Drosophila melanogaster: one gene and its partners. The protein of the gene in region 2 purifies or fractionates together with the protein of the main gene of each other region. This does not show direct contact. Each region holds a gene or a part of one and is shown on either strand. Other genes may lie near its edges.

The links.
Region 1: the proteins of Kap3 (region 2) and Klp68D purify together in Drosophila melanogaster (affinity purification with western blotting; 4 studies listed by BioGRID, with this or other methods). This does not show direct contact.
Region 3: the proteins of Kap3 (region 2) and Apc2 purify together in Drosophila melanogaster (affinity purification with western blotting, with the first as the bait; one study listed by BioGRID). This does not show direct contact.

What each region holds. Positions count from the first base shown.
Region 1 is NT_037436.4:11,793,640-11,799,410, reverse strand, and holds Klp68D (Kinesin-like protein at 68D), read right to left. Parts: upstream 3,798-5,771; 5' UTR 3,713-3,797; intron 3,554-3,712; 5' UTR 3,455-3,553; coding exon 2,790-3,454; intron 2,685-2,789; coding exon 995-2,684; 3' UTR 536-994; downstream 1-535. Other genes in the region: Gcat (glycine C-acetyltransferase), read left to right, coding at 1-172, 235-392; CG10907 (uncharacterized protein), read right to left, coding at 4,021-4,348, 4,408-4,614, 4,674-5,057, 5,235-5,771. UniProt on the Drosophila melanogaster protein: Plus-end directed microtubule motor that may be used for anterograde axonal transport and could conceivably move cargos in fly neurons different than those moved by kinesin heavy chain or other plus-end directed motors.
Region 2 is NC_004354.4:11,333,632-11,341,304, forward strand, and holds Kap3 (kinesin associated protein 3), read right to left. Parts: upstream 5,958-7,673; 5' UTR 5,897-5,957; coding exon 5,583-5,896; intron 5,194-5,582; coding exon of another isoform or gene 5,159-5,193; coding exon 5,041-5,158; intron 4,232-5,040; coding exon 4,066-4,231; intron 4,013-4,065; coding exon 3,698-4,012; intron 3,633-3,697; coding exon 3,496-3,632; intron 3,433-3,495; coding exon 3,244-3,432; intron 3,179-3,243; coding exon 1,703-3,178; intron 1,622-1,702; coding exon 1,365-1,621; intron 1,303-1,364; coding exon 1,158-1,302; 3' UTR 556-1,157; downstream 1-555. Other genes in the region: CG34348 (uncharacterized protein), read left to right, coding at 6,821-6,866, 6,976-7,114.
Region 3 is NT_033777.3:24,162,061-24,168,879, forward strand, and holds Apc2 (adenomatous polyposis coli 2), read left to right. Parts: upstream 1-1,905; 5' UTR 1,906-2,113; coding exon 2,114-2,749; intron 2,750-2,812; coding exon 2,813-5,026; intron 5,027-5,223; coding exon 5,224-5,577; 3' UTR 5,578-5,877; coding exon of another isoform or gene 5,878-6,084; 3' UTR 6,085-6,204; downstream 6,205-6,819. Other genes in the region: TBC1d7 (TBC1 domain family member 7), read left to right, coding at 1-331, 392-623, 680-766; mRpS24 (mitochondrial ribosomal protein S24), read right to left, coding at 811-1,100, 1,158-1,347, 1,408-1,425; CG5510 (uncharacterized protein), read right to left, coding at 5,878-6,084, 6,414-6,743, 6,797-6,819.

The DNA of each region.
Region 1 (5,771 bases), on a different chromosome or scaffold from region 2:
GACATGCTCCTCCAATCCAGCGAGCTCACCCAGCGCGTCCAGAGCAACACGCAACGCTTTAGGCAGGCCATGACAAAGGCTGGATTCACCATAGCCGGCGAGAACCATCCCATCTGCCCCGTTATGCTAGGTGACGCTCGTCTTGCCTCCCAGTTTGCCGATGAGATGCTAAGTTAGTTGAAATCTTAATCATCCCTTTATCTACATATATATTTAACTAATATTAAATTTCAGCCCGTGGCATCTATGTCATCGGATTTAGCTATCCGGTGGTTCCTCAGGGAAAGGCACGCATCCGTGTTCAAATCTCCGCTGCCCACACGGAAGCCGAAATCGATCGGGCAATTAATGCATTCATTGAAGTCGGTCGCTCTCTGAAAGTAATCAAGTGAAAAATGGAAATCAAATGGAGTCCAGTATTTTGAATATTGCATTTATATTAAACGAAACTGCATTTATCTACAAACGTTGTAGTAGTACTTATTCATCATGAGTTTTCCAATCCCCAAAAACAAATTAACTCAGAGGTGTTTTTGTGTTTACGGAGTTGCTTTATTTGGTTTATAATATTAACTAAAAATCATTTACTAAGTAAATAATAGACAGTTGCAGCTGGATTTAACTCAAGCTTGGATTGCACTTAATCGAACACAAAACGTACGTATGTTTGCATTTAAATCAATAACAATAATTCGAGTCGAGTAACAAATAAACATAAAAATAATTAAGGAAGCGTGTTGGGGTCGACTGGCCAAGTCACTCAAGGCATATGGCATTAACTAAAGTGGAATTAATAAAAAATCTTTATAATTCTAGGGCCAGTGCATGAGATGACTTAAAACAAAAGGAAACTTTTACAAAGCGTGAAATGTGAGTAGATTGGGCTAAAAGTACCGAGGTGTACATATTGCGATGACTATGAAATACTTTGGTTAGTGTTGTGTTTGCACGACAATGGTTAGATGCAATTCAATTCGATTAAAATCGTTTGTGATTATTTGTTGACCAGGCCGCGAGCTTTGGGATACGCCGAAGCTGGCTTCTTTGCCGGCAGACGGCCCGTGGGCGGACGGCGGTTCGAGTCCAGATTTGAGGCGGCACTTGGCAGCCCCCGGCTTGACTTAATGTTGCGAACATTGGGTATGGAGCTGCCCACAGCGACGCCAGCACCTGGTCCAGCTCCTCCATTGGCATTCGCGTTGATAATGTTCTCTAGACGGCTGCGCAGTGAGTTTGTGTGCGAGTCCACGATGTCTATATCATCTCCGCCCGTTTGCATGGCTTGAGCGAGCACCGCCTGCAGCGAGGCGGACACCTTAGGCGTACGGTACTCCTGGGTGGTGCGACACGGCATCTCCAGCTCGTAGTTCACGATGTTCTCGCTCTTGAAGCGTAGAGAGCTCGGTGAATTCGATTTGGCTTCCTGCAGAGCGTATTCGGAGGTGGGCCTTCTGCGCTGAGGATGCGATACCGGTCGCTTGCTGCTGAACTTGCCATCACCACCAGGAGGCGTGGGCAGCGACATCGAAGAGAATTTCCATTCCTCCTGCTCCTCGTCATACTTGGCCTGCGTGTACAGGCGCTGCTTGACCTCGATGGGCACAAAATTGTCGATGATAAGAAGCTGGCGTTTTAGCTCCTTGACCAGCTCGTTCTGAGCCATCTCGAGCTCCCTAAGATCCTGGTTGTGGTCGGACTTGCAATCGTTGAGTTCCTGCTGAAGAGCCAAATATTTGGCGTAGCATTTGGAGAGCTTGCGCTTCTTAAGCTCCACCTCTTGTTCAAGTGAAACATTTCGTTCGCGAATTTCCAGAGTAGTCTCCTCCTGCAGTTCCAGCTGCTGTTGGATCTCAATTTCACGCTTCTTGCGCTCAGCGATCTCCACCAGCTTCTTCTCCAGCTCTATCTGGCGCTCACTGTACGTGTCCAGCAGGTTTTTTCCGCCGCGAACAAGTTGACCCTCCAATTCTGCGAGTTTGGCTGCCAGTTTTGAGTTCTCGACGCGCTCCCGTTCCAGTTCCTCGTTGGACTTCGCCACCTCGGCCTCGTTTTCCTTATCCGATTCGGACTCGGCACCCTCGGGATCGCTGTCATCCTCCACCGGCTGCTCAATTGTTGAAACCTGCAGAGAGTCTGACATCTCTTTAGTTACGGTCTCCTTTTTGGGCTTCTTGACGCGCTGCTTCTTGGCCGTGACCTGCTTTTCACTGCGTTGCTGCTGTTGCGGACCTATTAGCCGCTTGAGTCGCTCAATTTCCTCTTGGTACTCCTTCAACTTGGCATCCTGTGGATCCTCATTCTTAATCGGCTGATTCTGGATGGACTTGGCCCGCGAAGCGTACCGCAGCGTTGTAAGCGTTTCGTTATAATTGTAATTGGATGGTCCAATGTTGGCAATCATAATGGTCTTGGAATTGCCACCCAACGAATCCTGCAACAATCGCGTCAGCTTTGAGTCACGATACGGAACATGTGGCGAACTTTCGGCCAGGGCGGAGATCACGTTGCCCAGCGACGAGAGTGCCAGATTAATCTTGCTGGCTTCCTTTAGCCGCTCCGCTGATGCTCCTGTCTTGGACTGCCGCTCACTGCCCGCCAAATCGATGAGATTCAGTTTGCCCACTTTGATGGTGTTCGTTTCCGTATCGCACATCTCGATTTTGATCATGAAAATGGCGTGGGATCTGCAAGTAAACGATAATTAATTAACTAAAGTTTATCCTTATCGAAAGCCTCGGATTCCTGATGAAATGCGAGTATTCGTATAGCCTGTTTATACCGAAACTTACCTTGAACTATGCTCATTCATGTTGGTGAATCCCACTGTGCGGTTCTTGTTGCCCACCTGCATCACTTTGATCATATCTTCGACACTCTTGCAGTTAATGGCGTGCAGATTGGGCACATAAACGCCCGATCCACGTTCCCGCACCTCCAAATGCTTAGAGTTGGGCTTTAGCAGATCGCGCAGCTCCTCCATATAAATCTCTAGGTAGGATACATCGACCAGAAACTGGAAATTCTCGGTGCGATTAATGTGCAGCCAGATCTGTTCGAATGTGCGCGGTATTATGCCCATCAGTTCGTCATTTCCGCGTACTCCCTCCATTGTGAAGGTTTTACCAGTGCCCGTTTGTCCATAGGCAAATATACATCCGTTGAATCCCTCCAAAACGGAACTGACTAGGGGAAAGACCACTTCATGGTAGAGCGTCGTCTGCGTTGCACTCGCATCATAGGCGGCATCGTAGGTGAAAACCTTGCGCTGCTCCTTATTGCCATCGACCACATTCTGCAGCTCCACAACGCCTCGATTCGGATACACGTTGACCACCTCCGGCGATCTTTCCGAGCGTTCTCTGTTGCTCATGGGCCTGCATCGGACCACCACCTGGACGCACTCGTTTGGCGTCTGGCTGCTGCCGGTGCCAGGTCTCCTGCTCTTGGCACTCATCTCCAAATATCCGGAGATCCACAAGGTCCGTGTTAACTGTGCTCTTTTCTGTGGTGGTGACTCAGGCAGCTCCGCCTCAACAAAAACAAAGTCGAGTAGCTGTGGCGACCGAAAACAAATGACGAATAAAATCAATAATTCCCTCCTGACGCAACCTTCTGATTTGGGCACTTCTGTGCTCGATTTGCACGCACAATTTGAAGCTAGTCAGCCACTTGAGCTAATGAGCAAATCGATTTGGCAATCAACTGCTATTACCTGTTATTTTGAAGCCAATTACTTCACCTTGAATTCGCTTTTTTGTCTCAGCTGCTGTTAACTTTGTCTGGCTCAAACGTGCAGTGTGCCCAGGCTGACCAACGTTGCACCACCAAATGGAGCGAAAATACGGTACTCCCAATTCAATACCGCGCAATTCAAAATGGCAGAGAAATGAGCACAACACTAACTTACCACCCAGTTTAGTAGATAGTAATTGTTTTTTGGTAATAGTATACGCAAGCAGATAATTACGATATATATAAATACATCAATATTTATTGAAACTATCTTTTTTTATTTTTTCTTTAAAAGTCACGTTTACTGCTTTTTGATTTACCCGAACTCGATTTACTAGAGCCAGTTTCGCCCCGCTTACGTTTATTTAGAGGATTTCGTGGATCGTAGGCATCGTACCAATCGTCGCCCTTTTTATTGGCATCCTTAGCTAAAACCGGAGTCGTACTATTAAAATTTAAGGTATGCGACAACCAATCGTCGCCGATTATTTCCTGTTCTACTACGCGATCGTCTATATCCTTCGGTTCCGATTCGCCATCATCAGAGCTTGACTTTTGCTTCAAGTTATCCAGTTTCGTTCGGAACTTGGAGAGTAGGCTCAATGTAAATGCCTCTCTAAAGTTTAAAAAAATTGGTAAAATCTTTGAAAAGAATAAAATTTATATATATCCCACCTTGACTGTCCCTTCGGTTGAAGCTTTACTTTGGCGGTGTACTTCTCCTTAGACTCTATAAAATCGTTAATATAATGGTTTTCGCTGGACCCCTTGATTTCATTGGACTTTGCTGCTTTCTCTTGTCCATTAACTAGTTTGTCTTTGCTCTGCTTATCCATTTGATACTGCTTTTTCAGAGAAGCGATTTCCTCACGGATCTTGGATCTAAAATACATAAATTATATGACTTGAAACATGATAAAACCTATTTAAGTATAGCTCACTTTTCCTCCGAGACTTTTCGACTTTGTTCCTCCTCCCGTGTTAACAAAACATCCTCGTCATCCTCAGAATCAGACTTTTCCTCCACTGGCTGAACTTTTTTGTCTGCTCCACTCTTTGATCTCTTAGACAGTTTCATTTTGATGAGATCCGAACTAGCAGTGGACGGTTTATCCTTGACACTGTCCTCAGGGCAATCGTCGGACAAGTGCTCCTCGATGTCGGCTTTTTCTACTTTGGGTACACGAATGGGCTCCTTGCTGAGTTTTGGATCATCTGTGACGTCGTGCAGGGATTTCGCCTTACCGGCGTTCTGTTTAACATAGACGTTGGTCTCCTCCTCGTCACCTTCGGCTTCTTCGCCAAAAGAAAGCAGTCCGAAGTTTCTGTGGATTATATTGAAGCGTTAGCAATGCACTACAAGGTATTTAGAGACTTCAGTTTAAGTGTATGGTAAATAAATCAATACGTTGCAGATACGCCGCATTATTATGCCATCATTCATTGTTTTCACTTAGTAGTATGTTAACAATTTGGTTTCCGATTTAGAACGTAAGTCTTACTTGACTCCTTGTCGCTCCTTCTTAGTCTTTTTGCTCTTCGTGGAAGGTTGGGAGAGAATACGAGGAACGATATCATCGAATGGGTTCGAGAGGACTTCCGTAGAAACGATGCGATGTGCGTGCATCGGTCTTTCCTGGTGGTCAACAATGCCATCTTCCAGCTTGAGCATGTTGTAGATGGTATCGCCGGTGATCTTTCCAAAAAGCGTGTTCTTATTCTGCAGCTCCGGTGTCGGAGCAAATGTGAAGAAGAACTGTGAGCCATTGTCATCCTTTCCAGAATTTGCCATGCCGACGAGGCCACGACGCGTGTACCGGAGTCGGGAGTGGAACTCATCCTTGAAGGGCTGTCCGTATATGGACTCGCCGCCGGTGCCGTCGCCATTCGGATCGCCTCCCTGGACAATAAAGCCCTTGACCAGCCGGTGGAATTCGGTGTTCTTGTAGTAGCCCTCTAGGCAGAGTTGCACAAAGTTGCGGCACGCCTTCGGACACTCCCGTGCCCACAACTCGATGTCTATGTCGCCCACAGTGGTC
Region 2 (7,673 bases):
TTTTCCATATTTATATATGTATATGTATGTCTGTGTCTGATATTTGTGTAAAAATTTGTTAAAACCATAGTCTAAGTGCAAAAACTGCGGCAGATGTGCGAAGCGATCCAAGTCAAATCGAAGTGGAAACGGAACACCAATCAGTGGGAGATGCCGATGCTGAAGCTGAAGTGGAGATATCTAGGTTAAGCTTAACATTGAACGCTAGAAGGCCTCGCCTTACGGATATCCACGATATATATATATATATATATATATATATATAAAGTGAACTAGAGAGCATATTCTTCTATTTATATATACACGTACCATACATACATACCTAGATATATGCATGTTTATCGGATCGGTCTAGCCACTGTCATAAGTATGTTTCGGAAACGAACTGCAACTTAATATTCCTTATTGTGTAACACAAAATTAAAAGCCAATATTATTTCAAATTGTTGCATTTTAATGGCGAGACAAACAGCTCTGCGGAATGGGAAAAGTACTCACCCCTTTTTTTTTTTTTTTTTTGAACAGCCAACAAAACCAAAGAAAACAATACGAACTAGGTGAACATTTACATTAGCTTTGTTTATATTCTTCGGCGTTTCATTATGTCGGCGTTTCATTTGTCGCCCACTGTTTAATATTACAATTTGACTTTTGTTCGTAAGATATTCGAGAAAACGAAAAGTTTAGGTTCGGTAAACTAAAACAAGTACAACTAAAAACGTTCGACGTAATACTTTAAGTGAGAGATTATTGCACAGTAATTGCGTTGCGAACAACCAAAGTGGAAGCTAAGCCATACATCGCACTTAAACAAGACCTCAATAAATTAAATATTAATAAATAACAAACAAAAAAATACCATACCAATAAGTAAGTAACCAAACTTAAACTAACCAGTGTCTGTGCGCCGTTGCTCATTTTGAATGTCTTGAGTACAAAGTTGCCGCGTCGCTAAAATCATTTAACGTCTTTGACTAACAAGCGTGAAAGGTGTCGTATATATGTATACATATATATATATATATAAATATCCAATAAATCCAAGCAGAAGGTCGTTAATAGGCAGAGTGACTAAACATGTACACGGGAGGGCGGGCAATCGGCAGAAGCATCTTAATTCAAATTCAATCGATTCGGGTTAGGACCTTTCTCCTCATTTAAGCCATCAGCAGCTCCTCGTGCAGACCATCGGCATCCAGGGATTTGTTCGACTTGAATATGTAGTTGTTGTCGCTGGAGCCCTGCGACTTGGAACTGGAGGTCATGTTGTACAAATCATCGAGATCCTGGCTGCGGCGATAGCTGTACCATGTGATTTATCACTTAATTACTCGAATCGAAGTGGAAACTTGGTCAAAACTCACGTGCTCAGTGGCCTGCTGTAGGTGGACATGGCCGGGCTGGCCGGATTGTTGTTGCTATGGTTGCTGTTGCTATTGCTGTCATTGTCGGCATTGTCGTTGTAGAGATCGCAATTGTCCAAGTACTCGGAGCGCAGATACGTGTCCAGATCATTGTCGCACTCGTCCTCCTGATCGGCGTAGTCCTGCTCATTGTCCTGGTCCTGCTGCGACTCCACCATGCACAGCCACTGCGAATTGTGGTTGCGGAACTTCTCCAGCTGCCATGTAACAACGAGAACAAGAAAACACAAACAAGTTTGTACTAAGATATGCCATATTTGGACTGGCAAGCAACTCACCTTGATGCGCTTGGCCCACTCGCTGTCGCTTATGGCAATAATGTCCAAGCAATAGTCGCACACCTTGCGGATCTCCTCGTTCTTGTCGTGCATCAGATCGATGAGATAGGCCGCCGATTCCGTCTCTTTGATCATGTACTCCCTGGTGCTTTCGTGTCGCAGGATTTGCTGAAACACAAAGATGATCTGCAGCACAATCTCGTCATCCTCCTGCTTCGCTTTAAGCAACTCGATCAGGGATATAACCACTTTGGCGCGGCAGAAGAGCAGGGCACACAACTCGTCGCAGGCACAGGTGCCCAAGTAAACAATGGTGTCCAGCACAAGGTCGTCCATTCTGGCGCACGGCAGCAGTATCTGTCTAATCCATGGAATCAGTTGGAAGTTCTGCAAGATCTGCGAGTAATCCAAATCGGTGAGGGCCAGGTTACCCAAAATGCCGAGGCACTCGACTATGAAGGCCTCGTCATCGCAGATGGTCAAAATGCGCGCCAGATCTCCCACATAGTCGATGAACTGCAGCTGCAGGGACTCGTGCTGCGACAAGTTGCGCAGCAGCTTCATCAGCAAGGCATCCTGGTACTTGAAGGCCCGATCCATTAGGCTATGCAATCTTTGGCCCTCCACCATAATCTGGGCATTACGGCGATTTAGCGAGAGATTAATGCACAAGGCAATGAGATCCAAATCGACTTTAACATTGAGGTTTAGGATTATGGCATCCGTGGCCATTTGCACGCACTCCGTTTGCGTGAACATGCCCTTCACTTTGTCATCCAAGCTCATGTGGTACAGTATTTTCACAGCAATGCCGTGATGCTTCTCATCGTTGATGAACATCACCAGCATGGGCAGATAGCCGGCGGCGATCATCTTGCGACGCAGTCCGCCGTCGAAGGAGAGATTGAAGACCAGCTTCAAGGTGACCTGCACCAGATCCGTGTGCGTGCTCTGGAACAATCGTGGCAACTTGGCCACAATGTTCAAAGCGCCCATCTCGTCCTTGTTGTCGCCCACAATCGATAGCTTCTTGAGGAACGTGCTGACGAGCATGAGTAGATCGATATTCTGCCTATCCAGCGCCTTGACCAACATCTTAACGATATGCTTGCGGCGCATCTTCTCCTCCAGCTTAACATTCTCGGCCATGTTCAGCAGCAGGTAGAAGGCCACGCGCAACAGTTGCTCCTGCTTTTTGGCAAAGATCTTAAGCTGCTTGTTCAGCCGATCGATCTCCTCCTTCTTCACTTTGGGATCATTCCTGTCCAGCGACTCGTTGCTTTGGGCCTTCTGTTCAGCGGGCACAGCCGGAGTATCGCCGCCAGGTGAACCGCCGGCGCAAAGGGACTCGTGATAGCTGCTATTCAGGATCTGACTCTTGATCAGCGACGATGACATGGAGCCGTGAAAGCTGCTCCAATTGCCCGACTTGGGACGCTGTTTTAGCTCCGGAATGCGACGACGCGGCGGCTCCATCTGAAAGTGAATTTGTTGAGTATTCGATAGATATGTTTTTCAAGAACTTATAGAAATAAAATTACCTCCTTGGGCTTCTCCTCGTTCATGATGTCCAGGAAATCGTCGGTGCTGCGGTTCAGCTTCTCCTTGCTGGCCTTTGCCGAATGTGGAGTGGATGATCCATTGGGCTGTTTGCGCACGTCCAGCTCATTTCTCATTGTCTCGTAGCGACGCAGCTCATAGTCAATCACATCCATGCACAGCGATCCAATCTGAAATAGATTAACAACGATTAAATGAGTGCTTAGAACTTAATTAAGAAACTCTATTCCCACCTTATATTGCACAATGAGCGGATGAAACTTGGTGTATGTGGAAAAGCAGAAGAATATGTAGATTATGTTGGTGGAGAGATCCAGGGATTTGCGCCAGTCCTCGCGCAGAACACGTGACAAGGCGCTGAGGCAGGCTTCTAAAATGATGAAATAGTACATTGGGTTTGGGTTCAAAACTACAGAACTGCAAACTTATCCTTACCATTCTTTTCCAGCTCTTCAAGATTATCGGGATTTCGCGCCATCTGTAGGATCATGGCCGAGCCTCGAATGCGTTCGCCCAGCTCCTCGTACAGCAGCTCCACATACTCATCGATATTGTTTATGGACACATCCGCCGTGGGCGTGGCGGCACTCAGGGCATTCGAGACACCATTGCTAGCTCCAGTGGATCCTCCGCCGCTGCCGGTGCTGCTGGTCATGGCCGCCACACTGCTGTGCGATCGAGCAGAGGAGCGGGTGTGCGAAGTGTGCAGCGCCGCCGATCGCCGGCTGTGAGTGTTGTTATCCGGTATATCTAATGGGTACTGAGTGTTAGTATGGATTTCTGCTAACAATCTAACTGCTTACCATTGCTTGCATTATCCTTGCGATTCTTCAGATAAAAGATTATCTGCTCGACGTCATTAAGCTGGGACTTGTGGATGAGATCGCACTTCTCCACCACTTCTCGTGCCAAGGCAGCCGGATCCGTTTTGGCGTTCAGCGAACGGAGTCGTATGATTTTTTGACAGTGCTGGGCGATTAAATACAATACATGCATTAGTTAACGACTGAAATAATGTACTATTAGGCTAATTGTTTTTGCTGTTATTTTGCTATTTATAAACATAGAGTAATTATTAGGATTGAGGAACTAGTTTAGGACCACTTCAGGGCAATTAACCACTTCGCATCTAAGCTGAAAACTTTTTTGGTCGCCAATATTTATGGCCAAGAGCAAAACATAAGAGACTTACTTATGTAGTACATATTTATGGTCGTGAACAATCGGCGAAAAATAAGCTTGTCGCTCGGCCAAAAAACGTGAATTGAGGTTAAAGACCCGGCCAACCAACCGCTTTTGGGTATCTTTTTTTTTTTGTTGCTGTGGTTTTACATTTTTCACTCACTACTTGGAGCGCAGGCCGTCATCGACCCCGTTGTTGTTGCGCTATCGATTGGGCCGCTCAATGTCAGCTTCTGCCCCCCGCCCCTTAACCCTTTTCGGGGCACACCGGAAGAAACAGAAGTAGCTTTTTTAAGTACTCATTCGGATGTTTTTGTAGAACAATGACTGCTAGTATTTAAACTAATAAGCAATATATGTATGTGTACACATCTAGATCAATTTTTCAACCTATTCGATTAAGGATCAACTTTGTTTCCTTTTTTTTTATGAACCTAACATAGTTAAGAACTAAGTTACAGATGTTCGCATATTGTTGTTATTATATTCTTTCCCTATCAACATCTTTGATACCAATAATGCTGGTCCTATTTTAATTTTCTAATATCTACTAGCATTTTCTCCCAGTGCAGCGATGTGTAACCGTGCGTTCTTACCTTCTTTTCCTCGATCATCGGATTGTTGGGCTCCCCGAAGACGGTGGCCTCCAGTTGGTAGTTGACAATCAGCGCCTTATCCGTGGGATGCGGTTCAATGGATCCGCCTTTCCACCTCCTTCGTTGTTTGTTTGTTTGTTGTTGTCGTTGCATTTGTTTTGGATTGAGAGCGAGACAAATTGTTGGATCAATCATAAATTATGCGGTTCAATGCGTAATGAGGTAATAGATTTTTCAATCCAATTCTTTTTTTGAGCCTGGCTTAACTTGTGCTTTTGTTTTAATAAAACGAACAAAAAAGTTAAGAACCCAACGAATAACGAATAACGATTAACGGTTGCAAATAACAAAAAACAAAAGGAGGAAGCGTGAACGCAAAGTGGAAAATCAATAGAGAGCGCCAGGTGATTGTGGCTCTCTTTCTGACGCATGACGAGTGCTTTAGCTATTTCTTTTGTTCTTCGGCCACTTGTACACCCACACATGAAAACAAACAAACACACACACGCACGCACGCACGATCTAATCCCATACATACGCACTTTTTTATAAACTTGGCGTCATCGTTTGTTTGCATTGCAGTTGTTGTTGCTGCTGCTGTCGGAGAGCGACTAGAATTTGTCAAATTGTTTATGGAAAGCACAGGCTCCTCTTCGGTGGGTGGCGGATGCGGGGGGTGGCGGTTTTGGTGGCGCGGAGTGGGGCTCCTTTGCAGCTGCTGCTCTCTTTGCGCTCTCTTCTGCTCGCACAGATCGCCGGCAATCGCATTTATTATGTAATAGACGTAGTGAATCACAATTGGCAGCAGCACCAGGCCCGAGATTATTTGGAAAATTAATAACAAAACAAATTGCATGCGATTGCAATGCGACTTCCGATTTAATGTCGATAAGTGCTAGTGCTGGCACAACTGTCTGCTCACTGGCGGTACTATCGATGGTGCCACGGCACCCGGCAATTACCGATAGCACTCAATCGATACAAACCAATAAGCGAATGTTCAAATTCAAGTTGGCGGTTGTATTCTAATTGGGAACTTGCCATTCATAATATGCAGTATACTAACAACTTTGTTTTTCCTCGAACTTCCTTGACCGGCTAGAAACAGGTGTGATTAGCCAAGAGAGCATCACTGTTCTGTTCTGGGTGCCAAGAACCAAAGTCTGGCAACGACTGCAGCCAGAACAGCTGGGCCGGCGTTGCCAGGTGCAAAGAACGTAGATGAGCAACAGAAAAGCAAACGAAATGGAATGAAGGAACAACAATAAAAGAATCGCTACTTTGTAGTATTATTAACCAAAAAAAAGCGCGGCGCGATCACAATGTTTCTGACTGCGAACGGTGTCGGTTGTCTCTACTGCGTGTGAGCCGAGTGGAGCGCAGCGCCGCGAATTGTTTACATTGTGCTAGGAAAATCACAACAAACAAACCAGCAAACAGTCTCGACTGACAATAACAATAACAATAGCAAATAACATGCAAATAAAATGCATTTCAAGCCGCGCAAATACTAAATACTGATTCAAATGAAACGCACTATACGATGACCATTTAAAAGAATCGCCAAGCAGGAGGAAGCGAAAAGAATTCGAAAAGCGCAAAGCGAGCCGAAGAAAGTGTACAAAATCAGGCCAAACCGATTTGTTTTTTTTTTTTTTTTTTTTGTTCTGTCGTATTTTCCCTTCTTTTTTCTACCGTTTTTTTTTGTGTTTTTGTTGTGGTGGGCGGTCGCTTCTCTTTTCGCGCAAGAACAACAAATGAGGTGGAGCAGCGCCTGACAATGGAATTTCTGGAGAACCTGTACAAAACGCTGCACTCCCTGTTGTGTGAGTAATATCGAATATTTGGCGCCCGATAAGGCGCACCGCTGACCTATGTACATACATACATACATAACAAATGCCCCTCCACCAACTGCATACCTTGTGATTCTAGCCTCCTACATCGATCTGGACTATTCGCTATGGCTATATCGCTTCCTCACCCCCCTGATTGTCACCTTTCTGCTGCCGCTGGTCTTCGTGGCCCTCATCTACATTTCGTTCCTGGTGCTATTCATCTACAAGCTGCACAGGTAAGCGAAATGGAAATGTTGGAAAGCTGCGTATAAGTTGGGTGGGAAATTGGAATTACAACAATTACAGTGTGCTTCGCGGGCTCAATTGCAACTGTTAATGAACTCTCTCATGCTGATCGCGCACTTTTGGAGCCAAGTTTCCCCCACTCACCCTTACCACGCACCCCTTCCCCCTTTGGCCGGCGTCTTCCGTCCCGCTCTGCACCTGTAATTAAAAGGGAACATAAAAAGAGATGGCGTTGTAAGGAAGGGGCGTAGAGTGGGAGAGAGTTGGGCAGCCAGTGTTGCCAACAAAAAAAGCTAGATAAAACAAAGCACGGGAATACAGTGGACACTCTATAAGGCAAACAGAAAACGTAATATAGTCCAATAAACTTAGTTTTCACTGTTTTTAAGGGAACTTATGATGCAGCTGTTTCCCAAAACGCTGAAATTAACATTTTGACAAACCGTGAATATGTGTTGAATCATCGAAATTATGGGCATTAAAAAAAGTGCTCAGCAATAATTGATCGTTTTCTGCAAATTAAGTAAATTAATACGATAAGCATAATCT
Region 3 (6,819 bases), on a different chromosome or scaffold from region 2:
TAACCGTGCTCCGGTTTACCGACCATAAGCAGAAGGAGCAGCCCTTCATGTGGCTGATAGACCATAAGAAGAAAGCACAGGTCATGCACACCATGTGGCTGATAGAGTCCAATCGACTGTGGCATGGCAATACTAGTGCCAGTCTCCAGGCGGACGACATGCACTTCATAGAGATTGTGCGCACGTTGCTGCAGATATTCGACGACAACGTGGAAACCTACTGGATAGCAAAGGGATTCTACAAGTACACCCGCGAACTGAAGAAGGAGTGCGTCAAGCTGAAGGAGCAAACGCAGAATATACTGAAGCGCGAAGATTTGTCCTTGCTTAAGTGAGTTTGCATATGGTTAGTCGGGTTATTTGACCAATTTTCTTCGATTACTCCTTATAGTCACCTGGAGCTTCTGGGCCTGTTTGATGGCAACTCAACGCTACTGGATAACTGGTATATAACCTGCTTTGCTGGAATAATCTGTACAACTCATTTGGTCAAGATATGGGACAAAGTCTGTGGAGGGTCCCGGAAGATTGTTGTTTTCCTGTTTGTAGAACTAGTTAAGGACATAAGGTCCTCGATACTAAAGCAAACATCTTTAGCAGACGTCAAAAGACTTATAGAAACGGTAAGTAAATAAGGAAACCATTTGCTAAGCCATAACTTATCCAAAATTTGCCTTAGGTAAAGGATCTTGACGGTGTTATTATCGTAAACAAGGCCATCAAATCACTACAAAACAACAGCAGCGAAGTCGAGTACACGCACTAAGTAAATCTACACTTTTATATTGGACATGTATATAGCAGAATGAACTAAATGTATTTGAAGACCACGTCCTTTTTATCGCCCACCGTTTGCAGTTCCAAGGTCACTGGACACTGCATCCAATAGGAGAGCAGCTCCTCCGTGTAACCAATAAGGAAGTACATTTTTCGCGGTGTAATCGCCTGCCGAATAAGGGCCGCGATCCTAATGGTGTTGTGCTGTCGCTTGATAATGACCTCGGAGCAGACGAGGGCATGCCATGTGCCGGTGACAAACTTGCGGATGAACACATCCTCTATGGCGGTCTGGGACGGACGCAGGGCATCCTTCATTGTTGCTAAGATAGAAGGTGGCCATCAAAATGCTTCCTTAATAAAATTTTCTCACAACTTACACGTGTTCCATGAGTTCCACGATTTGCGGTGGCCAATAAAATGCGGCGGATTGGCCATCTCGTAGGTAAGAGGCCTGTTTCGCTTTGTGGTTATGCGGTATCGCCCGGATTGCACGCGACAGCACACGGAGCTGGTGTGGAATCCTGACCGGCTGAGCTGCTGCACCTCGGTCGCCACCTGGGGCAACAGCTGCAATAGATTAGGTTATTTTAATATATAATTTGTCCTGTTTGTTGTTATTTAACACACCTTTTTCAAGAAGTTCATTATTTTGCGGCAGAAACAATTTTGCGTCCAGCAACAGCTGATTGACGTGACGTAACGGTTCGCTAGAGATGGACAAATTTATAGATAAGTATTCGATATTATTATTGTGTAGTGAAAATATTTTCTATAAAATAAAAAACAACATTGAAGGAAGTAGTTAAATAAAAACACAGAAAGATTAATTTTTAGTTGTGTAAATGCCCTTTTTAGTTCTTAAATGCAATACTTGGATCTCTATTGCATTGATTAAAATCGATTTTTATTTTGTTTTAAAGCGGGGCAGAGTTGTCAACAGTTGTCGGTGGGAAAATGTAATAATGTAATGTAATAAAATTATTGCACGCTTATTTAAAATATATAAATAAACAACATTTTGAGAGCTTCCTTAATAAATAGAGTTAACTTTGTATTAATCCCTTTATTCGAAAGAACTTTGACTGATCATTGAACTTGGGCAGAACTAGCTATAAATTAGCTTAATCGGTAGCACTGGAGCGCTGAGCCTGCGCGCTTGGAAAATGGCTTAAACGCAGGCCATCTCAAACAAAGATCGAGGATCTCAGATCAGAAGGAACTACCTGTTGAAGCGACCGTGCAACAGGACTCATCCAGAAGCAAAGCTGCAAAGGTTTATTCCCAGAATCCCTGGTATCCGAATGCACTAATAGGTGAGGATACATTCAAAGTAATGACGCTGAACGAGAGCGACGCTACTCGCCTGGAGCTGACGCGCAACTTCCTGGAACTGTCTCGAAATCCGGAAACATGCACCGCCCTGCGCAGCTCGGACTGTATCCAGCTTCTGGTGCAGATTCTGCACGCCAACGACGAAGGCCTCTCCACGGCGAAAAAGTACGCCAGCCAGGCGCTGCACAACATCGTCCACAATAATCCGGAGGAGAAGGAGCGCCAGCGGGAGGTGAAGATGCTGCGCCTGCTGGACCAGATCCTCGACTACTGTAACTTTCTGCACACCCAGTTGCAGAGCGGCGGTGAGGCTATCGCAGATGATGAAGATCGTCATCCGCTGGCGGCTATGAAGCTCCTGATGAAAGCCAGTTTCGACGAGGAGCACCGCCAGACTATGTGCGAACTGGGAGCCCTCAAGGCGATTCCCAATTTGGTCCACCTTGATCATGCGGTCCATGGACCGGCTGCCGGTAGGGAACAGTGCAACGCCCTCAGGAGCTACGGCCTCATGGCCCTCACGAATCTCACCTTCGGAGACGAGAACGTCCATAACAAATCGTATCTGTGCGGTCAGCGACAGTTCATGGAAGTGGTCATTGCTCAATTGAACACGGCTCCGGATGAACTGCTACAGGTGAGTTTAATCTTGGAGATTAAGAAAAAAAGATCGTAATTTAATTACCGTTGATCTCATCAGGTTCTTGCTGGTGTGCTTCGCAATCTTTCGTGGCGCGCGGACAAACACATGAAGACTATCTTTAACGAGCTGGGTACTGTGACCTCCTTGGCTCGAGCAGCCATGCAAAACAAGAACGAGAACACTCTCAAGGCCATACTTTCAGCCCTTTGGAATCTCTCAGCGCACTGCAGCACCAACAAGGCGGAGTTTTGTGCAGTAGACGGAGCACTGGCATTTTTGGTCGGAATGCTTAGCTACGAGGGTCCGAGTAAAACTCTTAAGATCATCGAAAATGCAGGCGGCATTCTTCGAAATGTATCGAGCCATATTGCGGTGTGTGAGCCGTACCGACAAATCCTAAGACGGTACAATTGCCTTGCCATTCTGTTGCAACAGTTGAAATCGGAGAGCCTAACCGTGGTAAGCAACTCCTGCGGAACTCTGTGGAATCTCTCGGCGCGCTGTCCCGAGGACCAGCAATACCTCATTGACCACAATGCCATCCCGCTCTTGCGGGCCCTAATCAGCTCCAAGAACTCCATGATTGCGGAGGGCAGTGCCTCGGCTTTGAAAAACCTAGTTAATTTCAGGGCCACTCAGGAGCTTATGCCCAATGGAGATGGTGGGTCACTGCCACTAGACAAGGAAGCTGGCCATGGAGGTACGCTGCCACGGAGATTCAGCTCACTGCGCCTAAGCTCAAATCCCACGGGATCGCTTAAGAAAGTGCGACCCTCAACAGTCAGCACAACTGGCTTTCTGAACAGAAAATGTGAGAGCCGAGAGTCCATTTACTCGGGCAAATCCGATTCCACTAAATACTCAACCAAGTCGGAGGGAGCGAAGAATCCCTTCGAAATTGTGACACCCACTGAAGAGCAGCCCATTGACTACTCCATGAAGTACATGGAGCACAAACCCAATAGCAGTAAGACCTTTGAGATCGACTTGGATCAGCCAACGGATTTCAGTGCTAGATATAAGGAGAGACGATCCGCTCAGACGGCACAGCCGGAGCTGAAGTCGGAGACCAATGAGATTAGAAGTAAGGAGTTGCAACTGACAAAGTCCTCCTCGGCCACGGAGCTGCGCAATAGTCCTGGCCTGGTGGCGGTTTCAGCAGCTAAGCAGAAAATTGCCACCGAAACGGAGACGGAAACGGCAGAGCGACCAATAAACTACTGTGAAGAAGGGACTCCCGGCAGCTTCAGTCGCTTCGACTCGCTCAACAGCCTCACAGAGAAACCGGAGAAATGTATGCCGCCAAAAACTCCAACGAAAACTGCGGTTCTCCCGGTGCACGTTGACGGAAATACGCCTCAAAACATCGATTCCGCACTAGAAACTCCATTAATGTTTTCGCGTCGCAGCTCTATGGACTCATTGGTTGGCGACGACGAAACGGTTGCCTGCGAGGACAATGGATCCGTGATCAGTGAATACAGCCGGATGCAGAGTGGTGTTATTTCCCCCTCAGAGCTGCCCGATTCACCCACCCAGAGTATGCCTCAATCTCCGAGAAGGGACAGAAAAGTGTCCACTCAAAATAACTTGGACACACCTGAACAGAAGCCCAGTACTGTGTTTGAGGACAAGTTGAACAGATTCCACGTGGAGCACACGCCTGCTGCCTTCTCCTGCGCCACCAGTCTAAGTAATCTGAGCATGATGGACGACTCTAATGCAAACGCTATTCGAGGACAGCGTGGAAATGACATCAACGGCAATGGGGATGCTCCTCGCAGCTATTGCACAGAGGACACTACTGCCGTGCTTTCCAAAGCGCCAAGCAATAGTGATCTGTCCATTTTGTCCATCCCGAATGATCTAAATGCGAATGAAGCGCAGCCAGTGCCTGCTCCGCGAGCTGATGTTACCGGAATGGACACTCGGATGCCGGCAGAAGATGCAATCTCTAAGATGCGCTGCGGTGGCAATGCATTGCCCAGTTATCTGCCAGTGTCGGATGAAATGAGCAAGTACTATGTCGAGGACAGTCCCTGCACGTTTTCGGTCATCTCGGGACTATCCCATCTCACTGTTGGCTCTGCTAAGGCTGGGCCTGTTCTGAAGCTGCCAATGAGGACTGCAGAAGAGGCTCAGGCACCCAAACTTCCTCCCAGACGTAGTGCCGTTCAAGGAGATGCGGAGCCACGCTTACCGCCGAAGAAAAGCGACTCACTGAGCTCATTGTCCATGGACTCGGATGACGACTGTAATCTTCTAAGTCAGGTGAGAAAAGGATACTTCATTCAAAACACTTGATATATTTCACCATATAAACATTTTGTGAGAGACTCACTCAAAAATAAGTGTCTTTGTAGATTTAGCAATCGGAATGTTGATATTTCACAAAAGTTAAATTTAAAATGCAGTCAGAAAATTCTCGCTAAAATCAGAAATATTAAAGTTGTTCCCTCTTTTTATAGGCCATTGCTGCGGGAAGTTGTCGACCTCAGCCCAGCGGTGCCAGTACCAGCTCCAGCCTGGCGAACGCTAGTACCAGCACTCTATGCAGGGAAAATGGGCAGTCAAAGAAGCAGGTGGAGCATGGCGATAAGCCGAACTACAGCTCAGATGACTCGCTAGACGACGACGACGATGATGCACGGTCCAAGTCGCTATTTGAGCAGTGCATTCTGAGCGGCATGCATAAGTCCAACGACGCCTTGGAGTCGGAGGGTGAGCCGCCGGGGCAGCGCCAGGAGATCAGTGCCCGGGATCGATTTGTCAGTAACCAGGTGCGCCAGATTGAGTCCATGTTGGCTGGGCGTCAGCACTAGAAGCGGATGGTTGGTTAATTGAGAAGCGCATGCATTTGTTTAGTGGCTTTTAATCTTGTCTACGCAATAATATTCTCACGGTCTCAATTTTCCTATAGTTCAGATTAAAAATTTGCACTTAAATTTAACTCTCCAACACGTGTAATATTATGTTTACCCTCTCACTAAACAATTAAGGAAACTAAAAAGGGTGATAAGAAATGGGATACAGTCGCGGTATAAATATAAATAAAAGTTGCGATCAACTGAGGTCCGGGTAACTCCTAACATGATGCTACTGTGATGAACTAGCTAGAGAGCTCAGTAGAAACGTTTTCGCGCGTTGCGATCCTTGAAGTAGGAGATGGCGAAGATGGCCACTGCAGCCGCCACGACAACCACGAAGAGAAGGATGAAGAAGATCTTGGCGTTGGACATTCCCGGCTTGGGATCTTCTTTGTGCTCGCGCGGGGGCTCGAATGTCTTGGCATTCGGTATGATATTGGAGCGCCGGATAATCTCATCGTGCTGCGAACAAGAAAGAAAGTAAAAAGATGGTTATTGCAACAAGAAAGTAAAACTGGTTTTCAGTAATATGATATAAATATTATAACACACGGCTTATAAAGATAAACATGATTAGGCATCAAACAATGTGTTTAAAGCCAGCTGCTTAATTATTACAAGTTGCAGCAATTAAAAACAAGTTCACTCTTTTTTCTTTATACGTATACGCAGTTATTGAAACTTAAGTCCGCTTTTGGGTTCCTTGCACTCCTTATCGCGTTAGCCAAATAGCAGACAGCTGAGTAATGCTTACTTCGCTTCCGAAGTTTGGCAAACAAAAGTGAACTTACATTTACGTTCAAGTCCAGGTCATAGAACTTGAAACTGTGAATATCGTGATTGTCGGACAGATCACCCGTCGTCGCAGACATGCCGAAGTGGTAGCCCGTGGGTAGCTCAACGTTGGCCACTACAAAGCAGTTCTTCCATTCGTTGCGGTTCTCCAGATCTGTGGAAACCGACAGAATGTCGTTTTCGTATCGAATGCTAACCAGCGTCTCGTACTCCACATTGCGGAAACGAACTTCGCAGCCGGCCAGCTGAGTGTGCGTTCCATCGCGATCGTGGTCGTAGCTCCAGCTGCCATTGTTCACCATGGCGCTGAGATATGGATGTTGGTGCTACAAATATAATGTTAATACATTTACATTCAATGCCTTGCGTAATGACATACGTTGTGTGGACCATTGTGATTGC